Linked DNA regions of Mus musculus. The protein of the gene in region 1 interacts with the protein of each later gene in a biochemical or structural test. Links are inferred from orthologs where the notes say so. Each region holds a gene or a part of one and is shown in the gene's direction. Other genes may lie near its edges. The genes, in order: Hip1, Cltb, Htt and Cltc.

Evidence for each region.
Region 2: the proteins of Hip1 (region 1) and Cltb form a complex in vitro, tested with the Homo sapiens proteins (2 studies listed by BioGRID, with this or other methods). The link is inferred for Mus musculus from reciprocal best matches to the Homo sapiens genes HIP1 and CLTB.
Region 3: the proteins of Hip1 (region 1) and Htt form a complex in vitro, tested with the Homo sapiens proteins (2 studies listed by BioGRID). The link is inferred for Mus musculus from reciprocal best matches to the Homo sapiens genes HIP1 and HTT.
Region 4: the proteins of Hip1 (region 1) and Cltc form a complex in vitro, tested with the Homo sapiens proteins (3 studies listed by BioGRID). The link is inferred for Mus musculus from reciprocal best matches to the Homo sapiens genes HIP1 and CLTC.

What each region holds. Positions count from the first base shown.
Region 1 is NC_000071.6:135,431,972-135,439,681, reverse strand, and holds part of Hip1 (huntingtin-interacting protein 1), read left to right. Parts: intron 1-1,049; coding exon 1,050-1,147; intron 1,148-3,172; coding exon 3,173-3,245; intron 3,246-4,491; coding exon 4,492-4,675; intron 4,676-5,352; coding exon 5,353-5,441; intron 5,442-6,539; coding exon 6,540-6,632; intron 6,633-7,710. UniProt on the Homo sapiens protein: Plays a role in clathrin-mediated endocytosis and trafficking. Involved in regulating AMPA receptor trafficking in the central nervous system in an NMDA-dependent manner. Regulates presynaptic nerve terminal activity.
Region 2 is NC_000079.6:54,606,350-54,614,547, reverse strand, and holds the start of Cltb (clathrin light chain B), read left to right. Parts: upstream 1-3,174; 5' UTR 3,175-3,283; coding exon 3,284-3,470; intron 3,471-7,857; coding exon 7,858-7,904; intron 7,905-8,198. UniProt on the Homo sapiens protein: Clathrin is the major protein of the polyhedral coat of coated pits and vesicles.
Region 3 is NC_000071.6:34,873,949-34,881,658, forward strand, and holds part of Htt (huntingtin), read left to right. Parts: intron 1-1,957; coding exon 1,958-2,099; intron 2,100-2,781; coding exon 2,782-2,961; intron 2,962-3,076; coding exon 3,077-3,253; intron 3,254-3,479; coding exon 3,480-3,556; intron 3,557-4,854; coding exon 4,855-4,993; intron 4,994-5,855; coding exon 5,856-5,978; intron 5,979-7,710.
Region 4 is NC_000077.6:86,699,677-86,707,386, reverse strand, and holds part of Cltc (clathrin heavy chain 1), read left to right. Parts: intron 1-151; coding exon 152-335; intron 336-527; coding exon 528-720; intron 721-1,256; coding exon 1,257-1,414; intron 1,415-2,076; coding exon 2,077-2,241; intron 2,242-2,391; coding exon 2,392-2,499; intron 2,500-2,579; coding exon 2,580-2,747; intron 2,748-3,157; coding exon 3,158-3,307; intron 3,308-3,384; coding exon 3,385-3,516; intron 3,517-3,612; coding exon 3,613-3,723; intron 3,724-4,615; coding exon 4,616-4,786; intron 4,787-4,956; coding exon 4,957-5,178; intron 5,179-6,305; coding exon of another isoform or gene 6,306-6,326; intron 6,327-7,710. UniProt on the Homo sapiens protein: Clathrin is the major protein of the polyhedral coat of coated pits and vesicles. Two different adapter protein complexes link the clathrin lattice either to the plasma membrane or to the trans-Golgi network.

The sequences.
Region 1 (7,710 bases):
GCATAGCTAGAGTCCTCTTTCTCATAACCAAATAGGAGCTTAGACTGAGCCCCCTGCACTCGGGCTCCTGGAGTGATCTTAGCTAGGTCTCCGTCAAATCAAGAAAACAGAGATTCTTGCTACAAGTGTGGTCATGCAAGCCACTAATCACAGAATTTGGAGGGCGGGGGGGGGGGGGGGAAGCAGAAGACGAATTCAAGGTCAGCTTCAGCTACATAACAAGCACATCGTGAGTCCCTGTCTCAAAAATACAAGGAGCTAGAGAGATGGCTCAGCCATTAAGAGCATTTGTTGCTCTTGCGGGAGGCCTGGCCTTTATTCCCAACATCCACAAAATGGCTCACAACCATCTTTTTTTTTTTTTTTTTTTTTTTTCTGTTTGTTAGTTTTTTTGTCTTTCTTTTCTTTCTCTCTCTTTTTTTGTTTTGTTTTGTTTTGGTTTTTTTTTTTGGTTTTGGTTTTGGTTTTGGTTTTTTCGAGACAGGGTTTCTCTGTGTAGCCCTGGCTGTCCTGGAACTCACTCTGTAGACCAGGCTAGCCTCAAACTCAGAAATCCACTTGCCTCTGCCTCCCAAGTGCTGGGATTAAAGGGATTAAAGGTGTATGCCACCACCCCTGGCTTTACAACCATCTTTAACTCTGGTCCTAGAAAAGCCCCACCCTCTTCTGGCCTCTGTGAACACCAGACACATACACACATACATGCAGTCAAAACACTTATACATATAAAAATAAATGTCTTTTAAAATATTTTATTTAATTACAAAGAAAGAAAAACAATAAAAAATGAAACAAGCAAGGCAGCATACACTTTAATTCCAGCACTCAGGAGGCAGAAGCAAGCAGATATTTCTATGAGTTTGAGGCCAGTCTGGTCTGTATAACGAATTCCAGGCCAGCCAGAGCTATGTAGTGTAAACTAAACTACGCAGTATAAACTGAAGTAATAAATTGCATGCATCCCCCCCGGCACCTCTCCGCTTCCCAGAGAATTTTCTAGAGGTCTCTAACTTGTGCTTCCCCTTCCCCCACCCCACTGATTGCTGCAGACTTTGTTTGACAACAAGTTTGATGACGTCTTTGGCAGCTCATTGAGCAGCGACCCTTTCAATTTCAACAATCAAAATGGCGTGAACAAGGACGAGAAGTGAGTCCATGCTGGGTGGAAGTACACGGTTGAGAAATGAAGCTAAGCTGTAGTGTGCCTGTGACAGCTACCCCAAGAGGAAGGAAGTGTGTGTGTGTGTGTGTGTGTGTGTATGTGTGTGTGTGTGTGTACATATGTGTTTATTTGTGTGTGTGTGAAAATACATGTGTGTTTATGTGTAAGTATATCTATGTGTGTATGTGTGTGCATATGTGTGTAAGTACATGTATGTGTTTGTGTCAGAATTCCAGCTCAGGTGTTATTCCACAGTTGCCCTCTACCTCCTTTCTTTGGTGTTGGATTGCGTGTGTTTTCATGTGTATATGTGTTCACATGTGTGTGTGTGTGTGTGTGTGTGTTCACATGTGTGTGTTTACATGTGTATACATGTGTGCTCTTGCCTATGTATGCCTGTGTGGAGGCTAGAAACCAATGTTAGGTGTCTTCCCTTATTACTCAACCCCTTCTTTTTAGTGTCTGTGTGTCTATGTGTCTGTATGCATGCCTGTGTGCCCAAGTAGGCCATGAGTAGATGCAGTTTTGAGTCACCCAACATACGTGCTGGGAACCAAACTTGGCTTCTCTGCAGGAACAAGTGCTCTTAACCGCTGAGCCATCTCTGTAGTACAGCACTTCTTTTAAAAGAAAACGTTTTGTTGCATTCGTTTGTTTGATTATATGTGTGTCGTTGGTCGGGGGATGTGGCAAGGTGTCAGGGTTTTATGGGTCATCTCTCTCCTGCATTTATGTGGAGTCCAGGAATAAACTCAGGTTCTTGGGCTTGGAGACCCTTCACCCACAGATCCCCTCATCCATACTTAACATCTGGGCTTTTTGGAAAGAGGTGGGATGTAGCTTAGCTGGACCACTGCTTAGCATGCTAAGGGCTGGGGTTCCATCTCCCAACTACGAAAGGGACCAGGGCTAGAGAAATGGCTCAGTAGCTAAGAGTCCTTGCTACTTAAAGTTCATTTCCCAGTACCCACCTTGAGTGGATCACAACCTCCTGAAACTCCCAGGGATCCAACACCTCCTTCTGGCCTCCAAGAGAACCCACACACATGTGCACATACTAACGGGCAGAGATATACATAAATTTATAAAACTGTCTTAGTCTCTTACCTCTTCTCTAAACATGATCGCCTTGTATCCTAGATCAGCAACAGTGAACCTTGTGGGTATCAGGGTAAGATACCTAATGTCTAAGGTACAATAACCCTAGGTATCCAAGAGTTGCTGGATCCAGAATCACCTCCACAGACAGACACAGAAACAAAACTCAGCCACTGTGCAAGACTCCCTTATAAGATGAATACTATTTCTGTGGCTTTTTTCTTTTTCTTTTTAAACCCCACTTAAATTTTGTACTGGGACAGAGTTGCTGCAGGCGTGCTGTGCCATTAGTGTATAAACAAGAGGACATCTTGCAGGAGTCAGTTCTCCCTTCTACCGCATGGGTGCCAGGGGTCTAAGGCAGATTGCCAGGCTGTATGGCAAGCACCTTCTGAGCCATCTCACCAGCCCCTGTTTTTCTGATGTTTCAGAAATAATGACAAAAACAAAAGTCTGTATGTGGTCAATAAAGATGCAAGGTTTTTTCCTCCCCAAATATCTTCCATCCCCAGTCAGTTGAATGCACAGGTCTAGAACTGCAGATGAGAAAAGTTGACTGTAAAATCTATACTGCAAAGGATTATTACTGTTATTTGTGGGTCTAGCGATGTGGCTTCATGTATAGAGTGCCTGTCTAGCATGCAGGACACCCCCCCCCAGTACTATATAAAGCAGGAACTGTAGCACATGTTTATAATTGTAGCACCCCAGAGGAAGGGAGAGAAGGGTGGTCGTGGTGGGAATAGAAACAATCTTCCTCCAGTGAATATCTGGTAACAGGAAAAGTTATTTGTTTGTTTTCTTAAAGAGAATGCCCCAATTAACACAAGCTTTGACCTCTTTTTGTCTCCTGACTTACATGGAGGAGAGGGGCGGGACATAGTGACACCAAGCCTGTTTTTCTCTTCTCAGGGACCACTTGATTGAACGCCTGTACAGAGAGATCAGTGGACTGACAGGGCAGCTGGACAACATGAAGATTGAGGTGCATTCTAGGGTCCATGTGCGCTTGGGTTTCACCAGCATGTGGCACATGGCATTCTTGATGTCTCATGATAATGGCTGGACCCCATCCTAAGACTGGGTTGATGGATAGACATGCCTTGCTGGGTCTGGTGGCGCATGCCTTTAATCCCAGCACCAGAAGGCAAAGGCAGGTGGATCACTGTGAGTTTGAGGACAGCCTGGTCTACAAAGGAAGTGCCAGGACAGCCAGAGCTACACAGAGAAACCCTGTCTCAAAAAATCCAAAACCACTACCAACAACAAAATAGATATTCAAAAGTCAATAAATTTGCTCATCTCTAGGTCTCAATTAGAATTTGTTATCATAACATGTAACTTTAGGATGGCAGTTAAGCTGGGTACCAGTGTCCCCATGAGGCATGACTATGGCTTGGCCATCAGAACTTTTTCTCATAAGTTCTTGAGAAAATTGATTTAGGAGCTGGAGCTATAACTCAATAATAGATCACTTGCCTAAATCTGTCAGAAGGGCTGCGAGCACATGACAGAGCGCCTGTCTAGAATCCCTTGGTAAGAGAGGGAGGATAGGCTTCGGTTATAAGGTGCCTGCCAAGAATTCATCAACTATGGGCGAGAGGTGTGGCTTAGTTGTAGAGAGCTGAGCTAAAATGTCCCAGGAAGGGACAGGAGGTATGGCTCATTGGTGGCCGACTTGCCTAGAATCACAGTAAACGGCTGGGAGTCTGGGAGGGGTGTCTGAGCAGGAGAACACCTGCCTAGAATTCCCCAGGGAGGGGCTGGGGGCGTGGCTCAGTGGTAGAGCCCCTGCCTAGAATCCCCCAGGGAGGGGCTGGGGGCGTGGCTCAGCGGTAGAGCACCTGCCTAGAATCCCCCAGTGAGGGGGCTGGGGGCGTGGCTCAGTGGTAGAGCCCCTCCCTAGAATCCCCCAGGGAGGGGCTGGGGGCGTGGCTCAGTGGTAGAGCCCCTGCCTAGAGTCCCCCAGTGAGGGGCTGGGGACATGGCTCAGCAGTATAGCCACTGGCCACTTGAGCAAGACCCTAGGCTCCCTCCCTACCCAGAGCGACAGAACAACAGTAACAAAAAGTTTTCTCTCTGTAGTTGGTTGAGTCTATGGGTTGGGAAATTGATTTAGAGATCAACCACATCAGTGCCAGTCACGTGATAAGTCATTTCCTGTCCTGCCTGGTACCCCTCATGGGGCAGCCTGGCAGTAGTGAGCTTCTCACCACGGCTTCCCCTGACAGAGCCAGCGGGCCATGCTGCAGCTGAAGGGTCGAGTGAGTGAGCTGGAGGCAGAGCTAGCAGAGCAGCAGCACTTGGGCCGGCAGGCTATGGATGACTGCGAGTTCCTGCGCACTGAGCTGGATGAACTGAAGAGGCAGCGAGAGGACACGGAGAAGGCACAGCGCAGCCTGACTGAGATAGAAAGTGAGGGCTGGGGCTGGGGATGTGGGCGGGAGCAAGGCAGATCACCCCTTTGTGGAAGCAAAGCTGGGGTACTGACTCTTGTCTTCAGAGGTAGGAACAGGTTTGGTGGCACTGCTGAGCCAAGGACACATTGATGGCTTGAGTCCCTATCCTGGGAGAGGGACCTTCCTAGGAGAGGAAGCTGGACAAAGCCTAAGGGGGCGGGGCGGGGACACATGAAGCTTAAAGCCCTGCTGATATGGATACTGTGTTTGTAGGCATCTGTCTGCAGGTGGATTTGAATCAGGGGAAAGTTTACTTAAAGAAGACAACCTTTTATGTCCGCTTCAGTGGTGTTTACATGTAACTTCAGAACTCGGGAAGCTAAGGCGGGAGATGACCATAATGCTAGCTTGGGTTACATAGCAAGACCTTGTTTCCAGTAAACCCCTATTAATGACTATTAATGAAAGTTAATAGATAAATTCTAGCAGAGTGTGGTGGTATACGTCTGTAGTTCCAGCCCACAGGATCAGAGGTTCAAGGTCATGCTGGCTACATAGCCTGAGCTACTTGAGACCATATCTTTAAAAAAAAAAAAAAGATAAAGATTACCTTTAGTGCCCCCAGTTTCCTAGAGGGAGGATGAGGGGCATCCCAGCCAGGGCAGAGGCCTCACCCTGATCTTTCCATTGCAGGAAAGGCCCAGGCTAATGAACAGAGGTATAGCAAGTTAAAAGAGAAGTACAGTGAACTGGTGCAGAACCATGCTGACCTGCTGCGGAAGGTAGGCATTGTGGCCCCTTCTAATCCTCCCATATGCTCCACATTACAGGAGAAACAGCTCAAGCCTGGGCGGGGCTTGGGGGGGGGGTCTCCAAGCTGCACAGTATGTATGTATTCTTCCTCTGTATGTCCGAATGCTTGTGTATGCGCATGTGTGTGCAGTTGCTTGAGGAGGCCAGTAGATGGCATCAGACCTGTGAAGCTGAAGTTATAGGCAAATTGTGAGTCTAGCATGGGTGTGGGGAACCCAAACTACATACTTTGAAAGAGCAGCACCAAGCCATCCTTCCAGCCCCACACTCCTAATTCTTGACCCCACCTTGCTTGCTTTCTTTCTTTCTTTCTTTCTTTCTCTTTTCTTTCTTTCAAGAGATGGCTCAATGGTTAAGAGCACTGACAGCTCTTCCAGAGGTCCTGAGTTCAATTCCCAGCAACCACATGGTGGCTCACACCCATCTGTAATGGGACCTGATGCCCTCTTCTGGTGTGTCTGAGCCCTATCTTGAGTCCTAACCCCAGCTTTTTAAGACTTCTTGAGTTCTGTCTGTGTGCCAGCCACACTTAGGATTACCCTTCATTTGAGCTGGGCATAGTGGGACATGCCTATAATCCTATCAGAAGGTGGAGGCAAAATCCTATCTCAAAAAAAAAAAAAAAAAAAAATAGCCACGAGTAGTGCCACATGACTTTAAACCCAACGATGGAGGCCAGGCAGGGCTAAATAGTCAGATTCTATCTCAGAAAGTAGAGAGTAGGCGTACTATCCTCACACCTGAAATCCTCAAACGTAGAAAGCAGAGGCAGAAGGATTGCTGTGAGTCTGAGGCAAGCTTGGGCTACATAGTGAATTCCAAGCCAGCCTGGAAAAACACTACACCAGACAACTCTACCCTTACCCACTCTGTATTTTTGTAATCACCTTTAAGTCTAACATCCCTCTGAATGCCATGGCTGGTTCTGGCTTCCTTCTGGGTAGGGAAAACTTCTCCTGTCTGCCTCCTTGTTACTCACAGTCTGATGATAGATCATTGCTGCTAGAAGGACGATGGGCTTTGAGCCTGAGTAATGTCTGGTTAAAAACTCTCTACTCCTCTTTTAGAACGCAGAGGTGACCAAACAGGTGTCCGTGGCCCGGCAAGCCCAGGTGGATTTGGAAAGAGAGAAAAAAGAGCTAGCAGATTCCTTTGCACGGGTAAGTGACCAGGCCCAGCGGAAGGTAAGCCAGAGAGACACTTGGGGATGTAGAAGGGAGGGGTACGTACATACGTGCGTGCGTGCGTGCGTGCGTGCTTGCGTGCGTGCGTGCCTGCAACATCATGCATGTTGAAGTGGGTTTAGGTTTAGATTCTTTTCTGGTGCCGTGCGGGTCTGGGCGATCAGATCCTCCCGCTCAGCCCCAAGACCCTTGAGCTTCAGTCATCTCCGAACACCTGTAAACAGGCTTGGAGGCCGACTTGGCCCAGAGGGCTTCATCATATGTTCCATGGGTAATTTTCAGGAGGCCTTGGGAGCTACGCGGAAGAGCAGATTTCGCTCAGTTGGTAGAGTTCTTATGTTGTAGGCTCACCTAGGAGGCCTGCGAGCTCCATCCCTGTTACCACATGAACCAGGCGTAGTAGTGCAAGTCTATGCTCTCACCACTTGGGAGGTAGAGGCAAGAGAAACAGAAGTTCAGGCCAGCCTGGGCTACTTGAAACCCTGTCTCAAGGACAGGGGGCCAAGCAAAGGAATAGAGGGCCAGGCTGTAGTGGTACACGCCTTTAATCCCAGACAGAGGCAGGCAAATCTCTGAATTGAGGCCAGCCTAATCTACAGAGTTTTAGGACAGCAAGGGCTACCCAGAGAAACCCTATCTCAACAACAACAGTATATATAAAATCAATTATTATTTGTTTTATTGTTACTAGTAATTAATATTATTGACATTAATATCAACTGTGATTTAATATTGTTATTAATCATAATATAGATAACTATATAATTGATATAATCTTGACATATTAAAATTACTGATTCTAATTAATATTTATATTGATAAGCTTTATTATTTCTGTATTGATAATCAGTTATTGGTAGTAATTAGTATGTGTTAGTCCTGAATTCTTAATAACACCTAGTAAACTAATCTTCAAAAATTAATATTGGGAAAGAAAGGCAAAGCTGTTGGTGAGGCCTGGGTCATCGACTTCCTCCAGGCTGCCTGCTACCCACACACTTAGAACTCAGACCTAGTGGATCTACAGTCTCGGTCAATAGCGTGGGACGTCAAT
Region 2 (8,198 bases), on another chromosome or scaffold:
ATCTACATTAAATAAATAAATAAATAAATAAATAAATAAATAAATACATCTTTTTCCCCATTCTTCTAGAGAACCTGGGTTTAATTCCCAGCACCTACACGGACTTCACAACTGCCTGTAACTCTAGTTCCAGGGGATTTGGCACCCTCACACACACATCCATAAGGCAAAATACGAATGCACGTACAACAAATCTTTAAATTAAAGAAATTATTTATGTGTGTGTGTGCCTGTCCGTATGTGTACCATGTGCATGCAATGCCCATAGAGACCAGAAAAGGACATTGGATCTCCTGAAACTGGAGTTGTGAGCCACCTGATGTGGATGCTGCGAGCTGATCCTGGGTCATCTGAGAAAGCAGTGAGTGCTCTTAACTGCTGAGCCATCTCTCTTGCCCAAATACACAGCTCTTTTAAAAACAAAAATGGCGGGGATGAAGAAAGCACTCCCTAGTAACAGAAAGCAGAGTGCTGCTGTCCTGGGAGTGAGCTGAAACAGAAGCTGACTGCGAAAGGGCACAGGCAGCCTTTCAGGTGATAGTGTGCCTCCTTTCTTCGTTGAGCTAGAGTGCTAGAAGGTGCTGCTCAGGCTGCTGGGGTGGAAAAGACATCAACAGCATCCTTGTCCGCATCTTTCATGTGATAATATTAACCTGCTAGGCATCCCACTGAGGTTGGAAAGATAGAGAACATGCTACTCTTGTAGACAACTGACAGCCTGCAGTAACTCTAGCTACAATGTATCTAGATACATAGTATCTTATATACCTTTAGCCTCTGTAGGTACCTGGACATATACACACTCACCCATACCCATACACCTATACATACATATGTGTAACTTTAAAAAATAATTTTAAAAAACCATGCATGAAGCAGAATCATATGGATTCTGTGAGTTTGAGGCCAGCCTGGTCTACATAGCAGGCTCAAGGCCAGACAGTTGTGTAGTGAGACTGACTCAAAAACCTAAAGTTCTCACTGGTGTAGCAGTGGCATGAACATTACAGGGGTAACCTCACTGTGCGTCACTGTGATGGCCTGCTCATTCCTTCAGGCAGTGTTAATTGAACTCAGTGGGTTACTAACACAAAAAAACTGGAGAGGATGGGGGGCGGGGGCACTGGTGAGATGGCTCAGCAGGTAAGAACATTGACTGCTCTTCTGAAGGTACGGAGTTAAAATCCCAGCAACCACATGGTGGCTCACAACCACCAGTAATGAAATCTGATGCCCTCTTCTGGTGCATCTGAAGACAGCTACATTGTACCTATGTATAATAATAAATAAATCAGCCGGGCTTGGTGGCGCATGCCTTTGATCCCAGCACTCGGGAGGCAGAGGCAGGCGGATTTCTGAGTTCGAGGCCAGCCTGGTCTACAAAGTGAGTGCCAGGACAGCCAAGGCTACACAGAGAAACCCTGTCTCGAAAAACCAAAATAAATAAATAAATCTGCTGGGCAGGGCAGTGGTGGCCCATGCCTTTAATCCCAGGACTTGGGAGGCAGAGGCAGGCAGATTTCTGATTTCGAGGCCAGCCTGGTCTACAGAGTGAGTTCCAGGACAGTCAGAGCTACACAGAGAAACCCTGTCTCGGAAAACCAAAAAACTGAGTGAACAGAGTTGACTGGAGAGGGAGCAGAGGTCCTAAACCAATTCAATTCTGAAAAACCACATGAAGGCTCACAGCCATTTGCACAGCTACAGTGTCCTCACATAAATATATAAATAAATAAAAAAATTTCAAGTGGGGGAGGGGAACTGTTAGGGAGGGGATACCTGGGAGGCGTGAGATATGTGAGGGGGGAGCATATGCTCAAAATGCATTACTTGTTTGTATAAAATGACAAAGAGGGCTGTAGAGATGGCTCAGTGGTTAAGAGCACTGACTGCTCTTCCAGAGGTTCTGAGTTCAATTCCCAGCAACCACATGGTGGCTCACAACCATCTGTGATGTGATCTTGGTGCCTTCTTCTGTCCTACAGGCATATATGCAGGCAGAACACTGTATACATAATATATATATATGTATATGTATATATATATATATATATATATACACATATACACACACACACACACACACACACACACACACATATATACATATATATATATATATAAATTGACAAAGACTAAAAGAGAGGTACTCACCTGGCAGTGGTGGTGCTCGCCTTTAATCCCAGCATCCTAGAGGCAGAGACATGTGGATCTTTATGAATTTGAGGCCGGCCTTATCTACAGAGTGAGCTCCAGGATCAGCCAGGGATACATGGAGAAACCCTGTCTTGAAAAACAAAAACACAACCAAAAAAGATACTGTATTTTTGAAAAAGGTCTCCGGGTAGTGGTGGCGCATGCCTTTAATCCCAGCACTTGGGAGGCAGAGGCTGTTAGATTTCAGAGTTCGAGGCCAGCCTCGTCTTCAGAGTGAGTTCCAGGACAGCCAGGGCTATACAGAAAAACAGTCTCGAAATACAAAAAAAAAAAAAAAAAAAAAAAAAAATCACTACTTTGAAGCCAGCCTCAGCTATACAAGAATTTGAGGTCAAACAGGCTACTAAAAAACAAAACAACAACAACAAAAACCGCGAAAGTAATTGCAATGTGCAATGCGAGTTTGGCATACAATCTGCTGTCACAATACGTATATTAATTACCAAAGAAAAAAGCAGGCTCCACCTGTACTGTACTGAGTAATCAACGGGAACCTAACCAATAATGGGACAAACTGACCCTCTGCTCTAAGAACTAGAGAAAGAGCTCAAATTGAAAGACAAAACAATCAGCCAGTTAGTTGCCTTAAGGAACATCAATGTCACCAGACAGGGAGAAAGAGGAACAGTCCCTGATTTCAGGGGCTCATCACACAGATAGGGCGGCGGGATGCTTTACTCAGTCCTGAGAGAACAAGGCTCTGCTGTGCGCGCCTGGCACTCAAGCCTTTCCCAGCCTCAGCTCCCTCCTCCTACGCAGGAAGAGTACTCTTGTATCACGCAGCTCACAAAATCAGCTCTGGGAGAAACTTTTCGGTTCAATGCACCCGGTGCCAGCCCAGTGCTGCTGGCACGCTCTGGAGCCGAAGGTGGGCTTCGGGGGCTCGAACCGAGGGCGGGGCGACCACCCAGCCCCGCGGGCCCCGCCCTCGGCCGCTGACGTCACCGCATTCCCGCCGCGACTCCTCCCGCCGCCGCTGCAGCCGCAGTGACAGGCAAGCCGGGCGGGTGACGGGAAGTGCGGGCCGCGGGCGCGGGCGGGAGGTGACAGCAGCCACGCGGGGAAGATGGCTGAGGACTTCGGCTTCTTCTCATCGTCGGAGAGCGGGGCCCCGGAGGCCGCCGAGGAGGACCCAGCGGCCGCCTTCCTGGCCCAGCAGGAAAGCGAGATTGCTGGCATCGAGAATGACCCGGGTTTCGGGGCACCTGCCGCCAGCCAGGTGGCCTCTGCGCAGCCGGGACTCGCGAGCGGGGGTGAGTCAGCGCAGCGGCCTGGAACCGGGGAGGCTGAGGCCACCACCGGGGGCGGGAGGCCCAGTCTCGGTCAGACCCGGCCTGGGTCCCTGCTGTACTCTGAGTCCGGCTATCCAGGGTGACCAAGGGTACCTCGGGGGGCTGTGTGTATCCGTGAGGCCTGGGAAAAGAGGAAGGAGCCGGGAGATGAGTTGGAATCTGCGCTGAGACTGGATCTGCTGACTCTGGGGACAGGAATTTAGTCATGACATTTCATCCCCAGGCCAGCTTCTCCACCCTGGCTCTGGAACCCTCCCCCTGCTCAGTTCTGAGACTGTCCCAGTGTCCTAGCTAAGTGATACAGGTGTGGGACGGACACGTCCTCCTGACGTTAGCGTTAGCGTTCCTTTCTGCAGGGAAGCAGGGGGCGCTCAGAGAACTCGCAGCTCATCCTTTGGGGATCACCTGCAGTCCTGCAGCAGTGCGGGAGACAATGTTAATTACATATAATAATTTCATACACGTTACTGAACCCATTTTAGAACTGGCTTCAAAGGGTACACTATTAAAACAACTAGGAAGTAGCAATAAAGAATTCAACCCCTTCTTTCGGATGCTGAATTCTTCCTGTCCAGACCTCACAGTCCTTCATGGGCCCGACTGTAAGTCTAGGCAGGGGCACAAATGGCCAAGAGCTGTGCCCTTCCTGTTTGTAACTGTTTGTTTAGTGGATTTACAAAGGTGGCCCGGACCTCTGCGTGTGGCTTCAGACATAAGGGTTCAGGACCTTTTTCCTGCATTGTTATGTTTATCATTGATACTTCTGCCCCAAGGAACAATTTCTTATAAATATATTTAAATATTTAGTACAAATATGGACCTTCATGGTGACCCTCCTAGTAGACCTTGTTATTTTTTGGTGTCATGTTAAAGAGGTTTAATGGTCCTGTTGGAAATAAATATTGTATGTATACATTCATCTTTCTTTCCTTCCACACTTGCTGTGTTGCCGTCCCCACTGGGAACACAGAAGGAAGAAACTGTATCTATGGCCCAGCGTTTGAAGAAACTCTGACATAAGTGTAATAAGCCTTTTGTAACATACACGGAACTGGAGTTTGAGGGGCTATCAGGATGGCTTGTCAAGTAAATGTAAATCAGCCCAGCCTGGTGACACCTGAGCTCACGCCCTGGAACCCTCATGGCGGTAGATAGAACTCACTCCCACAAATTGTCCCCCCGACCTCGCATACATGCCTGCACCACACACACACACACACACACACAAACACACACAAGTAAAGAAAATATAAATAATAATAATTAAAAAGAAAAAACTGGAGTTTGAATGTCTTGCCTAGGGCCACACAGCCGTGAGTGATAGGTCTGGGGCTTGATTTCAGGCCTCCTAGTTATGATCTTCCAAAGGGCAGCTGTGCTGGTCTCCTTAGGAGATGATTGGATACAGCAGGGAGAAGCAGGGGCCTATCCAAGCCAGCCATGCAGCTCTGAAATAGCAGCTCTCAGTCCCTCAGCCCTTCATTGTCCCTGGGAACCTCCTAAGTTCCTGTATGGAACTCACTTGTCCATGGTCACCCCTTGGGAACAGTCCTTTCCCTCATTAGGAGGTCCCAAGTTGTTAGCAACTCAGGAGAAAGACAGATGCAGTTCCAGCTGAGGATAGCCACAGGAGCCTGGGATTTTGCAAGTTGTAGTCTTTCCTAGGGACTTACAGTCTGGGTGGGTAGGGCACTGACTAGCCCTAGATATGAGATAACCGGGAGGGAGACAGTGGTGATAACCCTTAGGGAAGCAGCCAGGGACTTGACCCTCTGAGGGTCTCCCGGACTCCATCAAGCTGCAGGTGCCCAGCTGCCCTTCTGAGTGGCAGTTTGGGGAACAAGGAGGTGCTTCAGGAGGGGAGCTCAGCGGGTGTTCAGGCATAAATAGAACAGACCTGATTCTCCTAAGCCTAGACAGTGGGAGGTACCCATCCTCCTCTGCGTTTGCAGGGAATGATAGGAGCCTGGGTGGTCTGAGGTGAACTGTCTGGGCAATTCTGGGAGTTGGAAAGAAGCTAGTTCTAACAGCAGCCACCAATGCACACCTCTGAGTCACCTCCCAGAGACAATGAGGTCTTCTGATAGCAGCTCTCGAGCCAAGTTCAATGCCGCTTCACTGCTGCTGGCTCTCAGGGGGGCCTGGGGAAAGCTGTGTCTGGCGTAGGCCTGAACCGGAACCCCACTGAGCCTTCCCTCTGGGCGGATCTGCAGCCGGCCTGAGCTGCGGATACTTTGTTTCCATTCATCAGCCTTGGGCAGTGCCCAAATGCTCTACACTTTCACACCCGTTAGCTGGGCTCTTGGCCTGCCTGTGACCAAGCACTGTGTAATCCTCTTGCCCCTGCTGGTCTCAGTAAGCTCACAGGAATGTTCTGGATCTTTTGCCATTATTCCTGAGGTGACCACACACCAAAAAGCTTATCCTTGGAACATGTTATTTGCTTTGCTGTATTTGTTCTGCGGGCTCTGTTGTAGACTCGGAATCATAAATGTGCAAGAGCCCTGTGGGATACAGGCTGGTATTTCTAAGAGTGGGTGTGTATGCAGTCCCAAAGACTGAAAGGAGGATGATGCTCATAGCCTTTTGGGACCACCCTTATTTAGAGAGCAGGCCACCTGTACTGTAGAAACCCTCCCAGAGTGGGTGGGATGAGAGCTGTCATAGTGAATCAGGATTAATCACTGCTTGACGATAAATAAGCTATAATTTATATCTGTGACACATAATTGACATGAGACTGCAAGGCCCTGATGAATCAGGTCAGGCTTAGGCCAGAAGCACTGTTGCTCTTCAGAGGCCAGTCTATCCCATACAGGGCTAATTGTTTATCTATGGGGACCATATGAGGCCTGCTGTGGCTCGCAGCTAGGCGGCATGACAGTTTCAGAGAGGCCTTGCCAATTACAGTGAACCCCAAGAACAGTCCAGCTCTCATTTGGCCAACTGTCTCTGTTCATCCATTCTATGCAGGAGCCCTTAACTGGGAATATATATACACACACACACACACACACACACACACACACACACCACACACACACACACACACACACACACACACACACACACACACATATATATATATATATATATATATATATATATATATATGCATCCAGAGTCTGGGCATGCTAAGTCACTATACAGGAGAGTGGGATACCCTGTGTAGTGTTCCAGTGTACCCCAGAAACGAGACTTTCTTTTAGTGCCTAGGGAAGTAGAGGAAGCAGGCTAAGGTTCCCTGTAGGAGGTAACTTACACACCAACTAAAAAAAAAATTAATGAGCCAAGTGTGGTGGCACAAGCCTTTAAATCCCAGCACTTGGGAGGCAGAGGCAGGCAGAGCCTGGGAGGGGCTCTTGCACATTTATGATTCCGAGTCTACAACAGAGCCCGCAGAACAAATACAGCAAAGCAAATAACATGTTCCAAGGATAAGTCCAACCTGGTCTACAAAGTGAGTTCCAGGACAGCCAGGGCTATACAGAGAAACCCTGTCTTAAAATAAAAAACAACAACAACAAAGAATTTAATTTGTTTATTCAGCATCTAGTGACCAAACTTGTAAAGAAGCCTAGGCCCCATGCATGGGTGTGGCTCTGAGCCACGGTGCTCTCATTTGTCACTAGCAGGACAGACAACCAAAGCAGGAGTGTAGGTTTGAGATGTCGAGGGCACAGGCTGGGCTGGGCATGGGAGTGAGGGGAAGGTAGCTGTGAAGGTCGCTGTTGCAGCAGAAGCTACAGGTCGTTTGTGGCTAACTGGATACTGGATAAAGGGATTGTGCGGTGTCACTGTGAAGCCAACATGAAACCCTGGGAGGGGCACAGAGAGGAAAAATAGGCCAAGCGTTGCCCAGGGGGAGCTGTGAGGCTGCTTGCCCAGGCAGATCGGTTGCTCAAGGTTCCAGCAGGACATGCAGAGACACAGACCCCTCTCTTCCTCGTCCCTGATGGCCTCTCCCTAAACTCACAGTCCCCCTGTCTACTTAGGAGGTCCCAGCTCCATGCTGAACTTCAGGTTGGTAAGGAATGGTGCACTGCCAGGTGATCTGGAGCAATCACAGTAGCCTTCCGAGCCTCCACTTGAGAATCTGTAAAATGGGTCACTGTTTCATCATAGGGCTGTGGCAAATATTAGGGATGACAGTGAATGCACATGGGAACAATCAGGGCCTGAGCCTCGTTGCTTATATATCCATTATATCTCAGGGGGTGGGAGGAGGGCGGTGGGTATCAGTATACCCATGGGTGTATGCATAGGTTGGCTTAAGAAGCAAAAAAATAGGACCTTTGTGTGTTTGTAATATGGACTGTGAATGAAACTGTCTCCTTGCTCTTTCCAGCTGGTTCAGAGGACATGAGTACTACAGTCAATGGAGATGTGTTTCAGGTAAGCAGAGGTGGGATGGACTGTCTCAGGCTCAGTGACTTGTTTCTCCATTGGAGGTCATTTAGGGCTCACCATGTTTCCTACACTGACTATTTTCTTGTCGTATGCTGGGGGCAGGGACTGACTGAGGAGTCGCTCAGGTTGTCTTCAGGAGTAACTAGCTTTAGGAAGGAGTGGCGTGGGATGGAGGGAATGAAAGCTGTGCCGGGCAGGTGTCTCTGGTGGGAGGCTGGCCTGACTGGCCATCATGGGTATTTTAACTGGATAAGCTCTTTGGTCAGGACATTACATGTG
Region 3 (7,710 bases), about 100 Mb from region 1:
TGTCTCTCTGTCTGTTTTGTCTGTCTGTGTCTGTGTTAATGTGCCTGAGCCCACATGTAGAGGTCAGAGGACAACTTTGAGGAGTGACTCAGTCTTCTTCTTCCACTGTGGAATCCAGGGATTGAACTCAGGTTGCCAGGCTTGTGCAGCAAGTGCTTTTACTTGTTGAGCCATCTTGCCAGTTCAAGAGGGGATTTCTAGTGATAGAAATAATAGTAACATTTATCCAAAGGGCTACAGATTGGAGTGTACAGAAGAAGCTTCCTTGAGTTGGTGAATGTGGGATTTGGACACAAACATTGGTTTTATTGTAGTAGTTATTGGTAGTTTTTCAAAGTTGAAATTACAGTTTCTTTCTTTCCTTCCTTCTTTATTATGTGTGTTGGTATTTTGTCTGTATGAGGGTGAGATCACCTGGAACTGGAGTGATAGATAGTAGTAGGCCACCATGTGGGTGCTTGGAATTGAATCCACTGGCTGGAAGAATAGCCAGTGCTCTTCAATACTAAGCCATCTCTCTAGCTCCAAAATTACCACGTCTCACCATACACAATATATTAAAATGAGAAACCTATCTATCACTTTCAGTTTTTAGTGCAGTATTCTTCAGAGAAGCCGCCCATGCTTTTCCTCATTTGCTTAGATCTCAAGGTCTGCACTTAGGTAACTTCTGCTCCTCAGTAGCAAGGTCATAATTGAGCATTATTTGTGTGATGATTTGATTAGTAGCTGTCTCTTCTTTCTATGGTTGCTGTTATATTCCAGTCAGTACCATTTCACATTCAAACCATAACAATGTCTCCTGCTAATTATTTAATTGCAAATTTCACCTATTGTACGTGAGTAGTTCTTCGCTGTACATGTGGCTATGAGTGTAAGCTACAAAGCTCCAGCTGTGAAAGGGCAGGGGTTCTGTATATGTTTCCTAACTGACAGAGGGTGCCTGGTGAAATGCCTTTTGTACCATCTGTTGTCAGATACAAACAGTACCATCATTCCAGGAAGTTCCCTCTTGTCCCTTTATCACCATCCCTTCCCTTGTCCATAAGAACCTCCGTGAATACTCTGTGCCCAGAGCAGAAATCCATGGAAATGAACACTGCATCCGGTTGTTGATCAGCAACCATTGATCAGTTTAAAGTTTATTTCCCTGGTGGTGATCTGTGGTCTGCTCCTGCATTACTGAGTTGATCCCACTACAGATACACTAGGTTATTCATCCATCTGCTACCTAGGAAGCAGAAATGGTTGGCAGCTTTAACAAACCTTTAGCTTGCAGCACAAGTTTTATCGATAATCTATTAGTACTGAGGACTTACAGGACTGGTCAACAAATTTCAAGTGTGCTTTCTCTCCTGTGACTTCTGTCCCTATTGAGACTGAGCAAAAGACTAGAAATATGTCAGACATGGTCTTTTAAATATTTGGCTATAACTGAAAGTCTCCAGGGTTATATTTAGAAAGATGCAATGAGAAAGGAGTATGAGTGGAGTAACCACTGCAGTAGAGAAGAAGCACTTTGAACAGTAATTCCACAACCATGACTTTCTCAGTAATGTTTTTGAAAATTAGTAGGAAAGTGTGAAATGAGGCTTCTCCCTGGCACTTGAAGGTGTTTGTAGAACATGAGAAATATCAGAACAACTGCTCCATTATCAAACATGGCCAGTGTGAATTCTGGAATGGACATGCTATTTGGAATTGCAGCCTTAAATAGTGGGTTTTGCCCTTCAGTCAAGCACTGTAATCATCTGGCTGCTAAACTCTCTGTGTCCTTCAATGATTTCTAGGGACAGAAGTCTGAGGTGCATAAACACACACCACCAGTCTGATAGAGCAATATCTGGAATAACTTGTGGGTTTGAGAAGGAAAATCCATCATAGCTTTGTTCAATATTGTGTGTCTAAGTTTGTGGCTATCCCAGACATTCCCTCATTGCATATTCATGCCTTGTAGGAGACACAGTCTGTCCTGCACGAAGTCACTTAACCCCCAGAAGTCTGGCGAAGAGGAGGATTCTGGCTCGGCAGCTCAGCTGGGAATGTGCAATAGAGAAATAGTGCGAAGAGGGGCCCTTATTCTCTTCTGTGATTATGTCGTAAGTGCCCACAAGAGCTCTTATGGTAGAGGGTGGCATAGATGCTGCTTATATGCACCTGCTAGGCAACCAAATTATTCACTGTGCCACAGATATATCAAAGCTGAGGAGAGGTAGCAATGTTTACTCTGGAGTTTAATTAGAGCAGTCTGGTGACATTTTTCCTTGTATTGGGCAGCTGTGTTTTTTGATTCAAGAACTCTATCAAATCTGTGGCATTTAGAGTCTGTTTTCTTTACTAAGCATTGCAGACAGAGTAAGTAGAACAGCCCATGCTAGGCTGGCCTGCAACCTGGTAGCAAGTTGTATTCCTACATGGGGCTTCCTTTGTTCCCATGCATGCAAACTCCAGGCCAGTCGCTAGGGAGGGCTACACCAGAGTGCTCACCGTGCTCCTGTGGGCATCTACCTCTTGACTTGTCCAAGGAGCCAATTCTCTGATATTGAGGCATTTGCTGGTGTCTCTAGGAGCTGGATGTTGCCCTTGGTTCTTGGCTTCCTGTGGCCTCTACCACATGTGATCAGAGGTGTAAGGTTCTATAAGTTTCCTTCCTTTCTCTCATTTACTTATACTCAGACACTTGTCTTCACCAAGGCAAAATTTGTATTTCAAGTGTGTTTTTTCTTACACTTTGTAGCCTTCTTGTCCACTTGAAATATATCTTTTATTATATCTTTCTAGTGTCAGAATCTCCATGACTCAGAACACTTAACATGGCTCATTGTGAATCACATTCAAGATCTGATCAGCTTGTCTCATGAGCCTCCAGTACAAGACTTTATTAGTGCCATTCATCGTAATTCTGCAGCTAGTGGTCTTTTTATCCAGGCAATTCAGTCTCGCTGTGAAAATCTTTCAACGGTAAGTCTTTAGCCTGCCAGTTTGCTTTCTCCAACTTAAAAATGGGATACTGGGATTTTGTCAGTACTAGTTATCAGTCTGAGGAATAATAAATTTCGTTCCTTCTCAACATTAGCCAACCACTCTGAAGAAAACACTTCAGTGCTTGGAAGGCATCCATCTCAGCCAGTCTGGTGCTGTGCTCACACTATATGTGGACAGGCTCCTGGGCACCCCCTTCCGTGCGCTGGCTCGCATGGTCGACACCCTGGCCTGTCGCCGGGTAGAAATGCTTTTGGCTGCAAATTTACAGGTACTGAAAATGGTAATTTATATCAAAACTTAGAAAGTCAATCAAAACATTTGGTCTATTGACCTGGTCTTGATTGGCCACTGATAAAGAGCATGTATGTCATATTTGTTATTTGTGTATCTGACCAACGGCTCTTTTTAGATATACTGTGTATAGTAATTTATCCTTTTTAAGTGGGTGTGAGGTTGTATATCACAAAAGCCCTGATGTGTTCTTGTCTGTGTAGAGCAGCATGGCCCAGTTGCCAGAGGAGGAACTAAACAGAATCCAAGAACACCTCCAGAACAGTGGGCTTGCACAAAGGTAAGACTGCAGCGTGGGGTCCTGGCACTTGGGCAACCAGCGTATTAACACATAGATATGTTCAGGAACAAATAGGTAGACAAAGGAATTAGTGTACAGTGAGTTTACTACAGCAATGCCAGAGTAGAAAAGACTATCTAAATATCAGATGAAATTTAGTCATGTCTCACTTTAGTAGACATGAAGAAGTGGCACTCAAATACCTGTTGCACAGAGAAGGGACTCCTGAACTTTGTGACTGTTGAAGGGATAAGAAGTATGTTTGTTACCTCTGCTACTGGACCCTGACTGAGTGGGAATAAAGCTAGAACCTAATTGCCAGGTTGGAGGGAGTAAACATGAGAGCACTACCTGGCTCTTGGCATGTGCACATTATGTTAAGTGACATCTCTTCATAGCTATTCTTTTGCCTAATTGTTTGAAAGTCTTTTAGAAGCCTTTATTAGAAACATTTCCATCTGTAGTGTAAGTGTAGTTCCTTGACTACAAGATAAATTAAGAAAAGCTTTCACCTCTTTTCCATTGCTGAAGGGGGAAGGGAGCATTCGAGAGGGTCTCTCATAACTTTAATCTTCAGAGGATTTTTCATGGTGTTTCATAATGGGACAGGGCATGGTCTGGATGATTTTTCTCAATCTGCAGAGCCACATGATGCTGACATTTGATCATTTGACATATGAAGTATCACATTGACTCTGTATAGTAAGAGAATAAATTATCATTGTGTTTGACAGTAGTTGTAGTCATAGACCAAGATAAGGAAGATTATGACTTCATAAATAATTTAGGCCAGATGAAATGGTTTTCTGTGAAATGACCATTTCTAATGGAATGAATTGTGTCATTATTGGGGATTAAATGGAGTTTGTGCACTTGGATCTTAAAATTTATCTGTTTTGCACACATTACAAATACGATGGCTAGGATTATGTAATTCAGTGGTAAAGCACTTGTCTAGTGTGCACAAGTCCCTAGGTTCAATCTCTAATATTGCCAAGAAAAGAAAGAGTAGAATAGAATAGCTTTGTTAGCGGTTATATAGTTCATTGCCTAATGGAATGTTGAGCATAAATGAAACTTCTGGAAAATATCAGTGAGGTATAAATTTTGGTAATTTAAAGTAACTAGGGCGTAAATGTGCATCATGACTTTAGAATGTTGAAGGGAAAGTCCAAAACCTGTTGCCCTGTCTTAAGAAGCTCCTAGTGCTCCTTGGTATTACATGTTTCTAGAACTCATCTGTGCAAAAACTGAGATTTCAAACCAAAGAACAAACTACTCTGGCTTTTTTATTCCAGACACCAAAGGCTCTATTCACTGCTGGACAGATTCCGACTCTCTACTGTGCAGGACTCACTTAGCCCCTTGCCCCCAGTCACTTCCCACCCACTGGATGGGGATGGGCACACATCTCTGGAAACAGTGAGTCCAGACAAAGTAAGTGTCCCGAATGTCTAAGTGTGATGACCAGGAACCCTGTGGAGACAATGACAGCCTCTGTCTACAATGAGGATAGTGGTGGCTGTCAGTATACATGGGACCTGACACTCAGCTCAGGTCATTAGATGCCCTGCTTGGGATTAGAGTGCAGGATGGAGGCCAAGAGGTCCTACTGAGAACAGGAGTGCTGATGTGAGGCTTTTGTGGAGGACTGTGGGGGCAAGTCAGGTGGCTAGTCAGCAAGTCAGGAAAAGTTGGTTGTGGTCCAGGACCTATGACTGCAGACATTGTCCAGCACATGCTGACAAAACTTGGCCTGCCTCCCCCTCTGAACCTTCTATCTCCTATAAATTGATGCACCTACTGCCACCAGCTATATAATGTATTGTCATCTGTACCCTTTCTCATTCACACTTGAGAATTAGAAACTGTTAGGGCCTTTGCCTTTTAGGCAAGGAGATGAGATTTTAGAAGCCTGCAGCCCATGACAGAAAACACACATTTGCCCCAGGCTCACTCTCCAGCTTTGTGGGAGGCATTTCTTTGGCTTTGGCTGCTGGGAAAGATGAGGGAGGCAGATACTCCAGTATAGTATAGATGGTGCATCATCTAGAGTGCAGGTAGAGCAAAAATTGTGAACACTGAGAACTTGGCTGAGTTTGCAAGGACTGCTGGAAGGTCCACAGGTGGAAAAGAAGAGGGCATTCAAGCACAGAACAAGAGAGGGAAGACTAGCTGTCTAGAGAGTGTAAGCCCAAGATGTGTCTGATGTCTGTACAGCCAGCCGTCGGTGCTTCTATCACAGCCCAGAGAAGCCGAAGTGCCTACCCAGTCCCATTCAATTTTCTTTTCTTCTCAGGACTGGTACCTCCAGCTTGTCAGATCCCAGTGTTGGACCAGATCAGATTCTGCACTGCTGGAAGGTGCAGAGCTGGTCAACCGTATCCCTGCTGAAGATATGAATGACTTCATGATGAGCTCGGTAGGCAATAATCCGTTGAGTCCAGGAAATCCTCAGCTCTGCTTGTCAGAAAGTTAGATTTGTGTCTTAGTTAGGGTTTCTGTTGCTATGATATAACACTATGACCAAAAAGCAAGTTGGGGAAGAAAGAGCTTATTTGGCTTAACACCATCATTGAAGAAAGTCAGGATAGGAACTTAACAGGGCCAGAACCTGGAGTCAGGAGCTGATGCAGAGGCCATAGAGGAGTACTGCTTACTTGCTTGTTCTCCATAGTTGGTCAGCCTACTTTCTTACAGAACCCACGACCACCAACCCAGGGATGACACCACTCACTATGGGCTGGGTCCTCTGCCATCTACCACTAATTAAGAAAACACCCACAGGCTTTTGATGACATTTTTTTTCTTGTTTGTTTGTTTTGAGACAGGGTTTCTCTGTGTAGCCCTGGTTGTCCTGGAACTCACTTTGTAGATCAGGCTGGCCTCAAACTCAGAAATCCACCTGTCTCTGGCTCCCAAGTGCTGGGATTAAAGGAGTGCACCACCACCCCCTGGCTTGGTGGCATTTTCTTATCTGAGGTTTCCGCCTCTTAGATGACTTTAGCTTGTGCCAAGTTGATAAAACTAGCCAGCACAATTTGTCTCATCTTTGTGTGATTAATATATGGGAAACCTGAGTTCAAGCAAGGGACACCATCAAGCAAAGCACATGGGAGGCTCTAACAAAAAATGGCACACGAGAGCTATAATCCAGAATAGCTAGCACATGAGATGTGAATAGGATGCCGTTTTAAACAAACTAGAATCCTAAAAGAAGAAAATTGTTTTAACTTGATCTTTCATACCTTTAAAGAAAACGGGTGGTCATAGGCTATGGTCAGTTGATCATTCATTTCCTGACTATAAGAAAGTATTGTGTGTTCATTGTCTTCTGGAAATTGATCTCTAGTAACCCCTGTATTAATTACTTTCTCGTTGCTGTGATAAGACACTGAGGAAAAGCAGTTGAGATGAGGAGGGTTTGTTTTGGCTTACAGTTCAAGGGTACAATCCTTGGCAGGGGAAGCATCACGGTAAGCTTGATGTGTCTGGTCACATTGTGCCCGTGACCAGAAAGCAGAGAGAAGTGACTGCTAGTGCTGAGTTTGCTCTGCCCTTTGTGTTCAGTCCAGGATCCCTGCCCACAGTTAAAGTGGGTCTTCCTACCTCAACCTCATCAAGATAGGCACACCAAGAGGTTATTATCTCCTCAGCAGTTGTAGAACTGCTACGCTGACATCAGTATTAACCATTACACCCATCATGTAGTGAGGCACCTTGTCCCTGTAGATAAAGAGGCATTCTGTCATGTAGTGAGGTACCCCGTCCTCTCTAGATATAGAGGAATTACCTCATGTAGTCAGATGCCCTGTACTGTCTAGATACAGAGCAATTCTCCTCCACTTACCCCTCGAATACCAGAAAGCATACTGAGAGCTGGTGCAGGCCTTGAAAGCATTCAATTCCCTTCCTTGTCTTCTTTGCCAAGCACTCTTAGGCCACTACCTTAGTGGGGTTCTTTGTTGCCCAGTGAAGACAAGGACCTCATTGCCCCTTGATACATGCCAAATGGTTATGGGGAAGCAGGAACTGAGCAGGTTAATAGAAGGTGTGTGTGTTGTGGAGAGAGAGGGTTCTCACATAGGAAGATATCTAAAGCACAGGACCCAGTTTGTTATATTTTCCAAGTCGTTAGGTGGACTATTAGCAGC
Region 4 (7,710 bases), on another chromosome or scaffold:
AGAGAACAGATAGTTTTCTGGATTGTTCTCCTAATACACGCTCTTCTCACCCTGACCCTTGAGACAAATAACCCTCTAGTGTCACAGTGGTGTTTCCTCACCATTGATGACTCTTTGATGACATTGTGCTTGAATGTCTTGGTTTCTTAAGGAATCTGCAAAATCTCCTCATCCTCACTGCAATTAAGGCTGACCGAACACGTGTTATGGAGTATATTAACCGCCTGGATAATTATGATGCTCCAGATATTGCCAACATTGCCATCAGCAATGAGCTGTTTGAAGAGGCATTTGCTATTTTCCGGAAGTTTGATGTCAATACTTCAGCAGTGCAGGTAAATCTTGAAATTACATGAATTGAGATATTGACAATAATGTCTTCTCTTGATGCAAAGAATGCGTTTTCTTGTGAGAGTATGCACAGATTGCTATCACAGTAGAGTAATCATAAAATGCTATCCGTTTAAATGTAACTATGTTGGGTGAGATCCATTTTACAGTAACACCAATTCAAAAATATTGCCCAGGTGTTGATTGAACATATTGGAAACCTGGATCGTGCATATGAGTTTGCTGAACGCTGCAATGAGCCTGCTGTTTGGAGTCAACTTGCAAAAGCTCAGTTGCAGAAAGGAATGGTGAAGGAAGCCATTGATTCTTACATCAAAGCAGATGATCCTTCATCTTACATGGAAGTTGTCCAGGCTGCCAATGCCAGCGGTAAGACTTCTTGTCTTTATGTCCTGAGACCTCCAAAAAATCACTAAGCCAAGCATTAAGGTGTTTAAGTTTTAATTGTATAGAGGTCAGACACTCCCTGGTTACGTGTGAAAGCTTTTAGCCCAGCATCTTGATCTAGACTGACTGAGTTTAGAAAGTCTCTGGAGAAAGTTCATTTTGTTTTGAGGTCTGATAAAATCCTGATAGAGCTCTGGAATATAACTTTAAAGTGGGCAGAAGTATCAAGCAGTTTCGGGGCAATAATAATATAGATATGTATTTTTATACTTTTAAGTATATCCACTTTATATTTGCCATTCTAAGTAATGTCTCTTTGAAAAAGGAGTTAAGCTGGTGTGGTGATGTACACCTGCCAGTGAGGCAGGATGCCTTAAACTCTTGGACTGCGTAGGCTGTTTAGATAGCATGACACTCAAAAAAAATTGTCAGGGGGAACTAATAGCACATCTAACATATTTGCTTGGAAATATAAAACAAGGGTGCTAGTTTATGGACTTATTTTTCTCTTTATTTAGGAAACTGGGAAGAATTGGTGAAGTATTTGCAGATGGCACGCAAGAAGGCTCGAGAGTCCTATGTGGAGACAGAATTGATATTTGCACTGGCTAAAACAAACCGCCTTGCAGAATTAGAAGAGTTCATCAATGGGCCAAATAATGCTCATATTCAGCAAGTGGGTTTCCTGTTTAATTTGCCCCCCAGTTCCTGTGCATGTGTGTCCGTCTGTCTGTCTGTTTTCAGTGGGATGCTTGCATCAAAGTGCATGTGAAGGCCAGAAGACAGGCTCTTGTTTTTATTCCTCAGGAATTATCTACTTAGGAGAAAAGACAGGGTCTCTTGTTGGCAAAAGTCTCACTAAGTAGTTTAAGCTAGCTGGCCAGCAAGCACAAGGGACTGATCTACCACTAGTTTGGTGCTGGGATTCCAAGCACATGCAACACCTGAATTTGTGGGTCATAGGTATTAATTAACTCACATCCTATTGTTTGCAAGGCAAGCACTTTCCAACTGAGTTCCACATTTTAACACATGAAAGTTCAATGATTGAGTAATTTTATCACCCTGGCTGAATCAATATTTTAGGGCTATGAAATTAAACTGTTCTTAGGAGATAGAGTGTGTGTATGTTCATTCATTTTATTTGTAATTTTTGAGATACAAAATTCAGTGGCATGAAGAATGGGTATTTGTTACTCCTGCCTCAACTTCTGGGTGCTGAATTTTACAGCATATTCAACTAAACCCATCTGTTCCTTTGTAGTAAGATAAGAATTTGGAAAAGGGATTAGGCTGAAACCTGTGTTTTACTGATCATGGATTGCTTTTCCTCCTTAGGTTGGTGACCGTTGTTATGATGAAAAAATGTATGATGCTGCTAAGTTGTTGTACAATAATGTTTCTAACTTTGGACGCTTGGCATCTACCCTTGTTCACCTTGGCGAGTATCAGGCAGCAGTTGATGGTGCCAGAAAAGCTAATAGTACTCGAACATGGAAAGAGGTAATCTAAACCCAAGTTTGAATGATGAATTAACATTTTGTTTGATTTTTTTTTCTCTTGTACCGTTGTACTGTTTTTTCTTTTCTGTTGAGTTGAAATAATTGCACATATTTATACTTGGGTTCTCATAGTGGAAAATGTTTATTCTAGGTCTGCTTTGCCTGTGTAGATGGGAAAGAGTTCCGCCTTGCTCAGATGTGTGGACTCCATATTGTGGTGCATGCAGATGAATTAGAGGAGCTTATCAACTACTATCAGGTAACGACACCAGGCCTTTATGTGAATTGAAACCTTCGTACACATATTCTCTCCTCTAATTGCATTTTTTCTTTATGTAGGATCGTGGATATTTTGAAGAACTCATCACCATGTTGGAGGCAGCCTTGGGACTGGAGCGAGCTCACATGGGAATGTTCACAGAGCTAGCTATTTTGTATTCTAAATTCAAGCCACAGAAAATGAGAGAACACCTGGAGTTGTTCTGGTCGAGAGTGAATATTCCTAAGGTAACCAACCAGTCTTCACCACTGATTAGCTCTAATAATTTAAAATACCATTTTCGCTGGGCGTGGTGGCACACGCCTTTAATCCCAGCACTTGGGAGGCAGAGGCAGGCGGGTTTCTGAGTTCAAGGCCAGCCTGGTCTACAGAGTGAGTTCCAGGACAGCCAGGGCTACACAGAGAAGCCCTGTCTCGAAAAATCCAAATAAATAAATAAATAAATAAATAAATAAATAAATAAATAAATAAATGTAATAAATTAAAAAAAAAAAAACAGCCAGGGCTACACAGAGAAGCCCTGTCTCAAAAAATCCAAATAAATAAATAATAGTAATAAATTAAAAAAAAAAAACATTTTCCCTGTTAGGCTGATTGCAGGAGTCATATTTACATCTAAAGCAACTTTGTGGTGCAGGTGCTGAGAGCTGCAGAACAGGCTCATCTCTGGGCAGAGCTGGTGTTTCTGTATGACAAGTACGAAGAGTATGACAATGCCATCATTACCATGATGAATCACCCCACCGATGCATGGAAGGAAGGGCAGTTCAAAGACATCATCACCAAGGTATATACACTCAGAAGTGTGCACTGTGGAAAGAGAAGGCTCCTTGGATAGAAACTGATGTGCATTTCTATTTTTAGGTGGCTAATGTGGAACTGTACTACAAAGCAATCCAGTTCTACTTAGAATTCAAGCCTTTGTTGTTAAATGACTTGCTCATGGTGCTGTCTCCACGGTTGGATCACACTCGTGCAGTCAATTATTTCAGCAAGGTAACTGTTTTAAACTGAACTTTACAGTGAGGATTTCGATGTACTTGGATACAGTTCTCAACCATGGATACCTTTCTAACAAACTTTATTTTAAAGGTAAAACAGCTACCACTGGTGAAACCATATTTACGCTCAGTGCAGAACCACAACAACAAATCTGTGAATGAATCACTGAACAACCTCTTTATTACTGAAGAAGATTACCAGGTAAAACCTTTGGATTCTTGTGAATACTTAACAGTAGACTCTGATTAGCTTTAACACTGACATGTTCTGTGGTAAAAACAAACAAACAAACAAAAGAACCCTGTTAGCCTTAATTTTTAAGTAGCAGGCATGTGGATGCTTAGTCCTTAAATTCAGCAAGGTTTTCGGGATGGGTAAGTGTTCAGCTTTATGACAAGTTTCACTCTTTGAGTTAGATATATTTTATATGCAATATGTGCTTCCTTCCCCTCTTACATCCTGATTGCACATCCAAGAGGCACTGATTTTTCAATTAGTCCATAAACTTGACTGCTGTTAAGTGGACTTAACTGTTTATTAATTTCCTCGCCTAATGTCTTAGTATTTGTCATTTAAATTTGCTCTTATGAAAGATAACACATAAATAGAAACTGTCTAGGTTACTAATTGCGATTTTTCCCTCACTTGGCCTGGCTGGGACTTGCCTAGTAGCGCAGGCTTCCCTCACAGACATCATACTTGAGTGCTTCGTTAGAGCTCTGTGTCAGCACCCCTGGCTCAAAGTCTAGTCTGTAAGAATAGTTTCCTAACAGCTTACGTGCTTGTCTACATTACATTTTCTCCCAATTTCATAGTCATTTAAGTTAGTATCAGTACTGTTTATCTCAAAGAAAATTGCACCTTCAGAAAGTTGTACAGTCCATTTAAGCATTTTATTTATTGTTTTAGAAGTAGATCAAAGACGATCGAGATCTGAATACAGGTTACAACTTTTGTAGTGTGGTGCTTGCATCCTCTCTCTACATTGTTCTATTTCATGTTGCCATCTAACTGCCTCCATCAGAATGAACTGTGGAACATAAATGTCAAACCGAAAGCTGCTAGTTGATTCTGAATGGCTTTGTCTCTTAAGGCTCTGCGAACATCAATAGATGCTTATGACAACTTTGACAACATCTCACTTGCTCAGCGTTTGGAAAAACACGAACTCATTGAATTCAGAAGAATTGCTGCTTATCTCTTCAAAGGCAACAATCGCTGGAAACAGAGTGTAGAGTTGTGCAAGAAAGACAGCCTTTACAAGGTTGGTAAGCGGGTGGGCTGTTCAAGCAATGGGAATTGGCATTTCAACTCCCTTTTGTGAAGGTGGCTTTTAAGTCAGTGCATTCATTATTGTTGTTGTTTAACTTTCAGTGATGGTTTAAGTCAGCATGTGTGGGTTAAACTCTGTTCTTCTCTGTTTCTTCTGAATAGGATGCAATGCAGTATGCCTCTGAATCTAAAGACACAGAATTGGCTGAAGAGCTCCTACAGTGGTTTTTGCAGGAAGAAAAAAGAGAATGCTTTGGAGCTTGTCTCTTTACCTGTTATGATCTCTTAAGGCCAGATGTCGTCCTGGAAACCGCATGGAGACATAATATCATGGATTTCGCCATGCCCTATTTCATCCAGGTCATGAAGGAATATTTGACCAAGGTAATGATGCTCAGAAGTGTATTCAGAACTAGTAATCCTGAGGATATATAACATTCTACATGCATGTTATTTTTCAAGTTTTTTCTCTATTATAAATTATTTAGTTGACCATAAAATGTTCCTATTATATGGATTCTTTTTCTTAATAGCTGACAGGCGATATGATTAGGAATGGAACTCAAGCTTTGTCAGTGTTTACTCTCTGTATTCTTATAGTAAATAGTACTCTCTTTTAATATTTGAAATATTTTAAGATAGCATTTTAAAGTTAATTGCTACAACTTAGATCTCCATGTACTCCCGATTTGTTTGGTTCCAGACTTCATGTCTTTCCCGTTTCTCATGCATTGTATTATTAGTTCCCTAGTCAACACAGATTTTTGATAATCAAGTACATAATTTAAAAATACTATAGGAAGTTTGCAATTAACCATGTTTCCTAAATGCACATTAAGTAACTAAGGATTCGGCCACCGTACAAAATTTGCTGTTCATCCTTGCACCTCTTTCTGATGTGAGAATAGCTCCTGCTTGCCAGAGTTAACTAGCTTTATGCATAGACAATTTAAATGATTTTTAAAAGATTCGTTTTGTCAGAGTAAATAAAACTTGAAGTGAAGTCTCTGTTCTGATCTCTTCAGCATGCCTGAGTACAGGAGGGGAACACTACTAACACCCCACCCCATAGAGATGTTTCCCCGAAGGCCACATAACTAGATACCTTGAGTTGCTCTTACAGTTTTTAAAGGAGGAATACTTTATATGTAAGCTCAGTGTGATTAGAACAGTTGCCACAGCTTAGCCACAGGTGGGGGAAGCTTCTTTCTTATGCATAATGAATGCCACCTTTGGAGACCTGGCTGCTGTTAACCTAAATGCTGTCCATTTTCCTAGCCATTAAGCTGCTTCCTTTCACACTGACTTAGCATAAATTCTTGTGCAGTGAGCTTTGAAGTTACACAGGATTCTAAGTTTTGCTTCCGTACGCCCTTGACTTCCACTCGCTCCTCCCTTTTTTAGTGGTTACATGTTTCTCCCCTGAACCTTTGTTGCTGATTCTACCTTTTTATGCTCAATATGGAATTTGATTTTTTTTTCTAAGCTGCACCTTCTGAATTCCTTTGCAGGTTGATGCAATAAAGGAAAAGGTGAAAGTTGATTCTTTTGCATCTTTAAGTCTGGAGACTAAGTCTAAGGATTTGCATGATTTTTTCCCTTCCTTTTCTACACTGCTGCTGCTGCTTTTCCCCCCAATAAATTTTCACTAAGCCTCTGCAAGTCCCTTGAAACATAACTATAATAGAGCTGTAGGACATTAGTAGATGTTTGCTACTAATCGGCTAATAGGCTTTAGGAAGGGCAGGAGGCTAATCAGTAGTTGGTTCACAGTCTCTCTTAATATGTTATTAAAACTGAGCATGGTGAGTTTCAATATTAATTCCAAACTATCAGGAAATTGCTTTTCCCTGTCAGGGTATCTGGAACGTACTAGGACTTTCTTAATATTTGAAATAAATTAAAACATCTTCTTTTTTTATTTTGTGAGCTTGCCTGACAGTTGTTGAATTTATATCTGTATGTACATGCCCTAAGAGGCCTTTGGAGTTCTGTGGGGCTGTTTTTTGTTTGTTTGTTTTCTGGGTTTTTTTGTGGTATTGAAGGACTGTGATCCAGTTTCTGATCTCTTGATTCTTACTAATTTTTTTTGCTGAAAGTAGATACAAGAGATACTAGCTGCTTCCGAAGAGACTTTCCTCATGTTTCTCCAGGTGTCCAGTTCTCATGGTGCTAGTCCATTTTTAAGAAGAGCCAAAATCTTTTCAATCATGACAGAGCCAAGTTTGCTGCAACTGTTATTAAGCAACATGGATTATCTCTGTGTATGACAAGGCAATATATTAACACCTATCTGTAATTAGCACGCCTTCAAAACCACCAAAATTTGCTGCCAAGTTGATTCGTTGGCTCATCATCCAAGAATGCCAAATTTAGGCACCATTTGGTTGCTGCTTTCTTCCATTGGCTTATCTCTTTCCCAGTATAAACGAAATGAACTTTAAAACTTACTCCTGGTGTAAAATTACGGCTAGAAAGTGGTGGGGAAGTAAAGGAGTGTTAAATTTTAAATGATTTGGGTGGGGCCAATGCCTTGGGATTATGTTGTTCAGACTGGAGTCACCACTGGAACTTAGGGCAAACCTGAGTAAATGCATTGTGTGTGAGACCCTTCAGCAGCTAGTAAGCAAGGCAGCTAGAAAGCGTGTGTGTGAAAAATGGGGAATTGAACTGCAGTGTTATGCGTTGTTTTCAATCAAGCATGTACAAGTCACCGCAATTACATCATACTACTCCGAAACATAGAGCATTGCTGTGGGCTGTGTGTGTTCCTCAAGAGCCTGTATGGCACCAGTCATCCTCAGATCTCACTTCTTGCTTCAGTACTTTTGCCTTTTTTTCATGCACACATACACCAGAATAACTGACTGCATGTTAACTTTTACTCTGCAGCATATTGCAGTCTTTGTGGAAAAG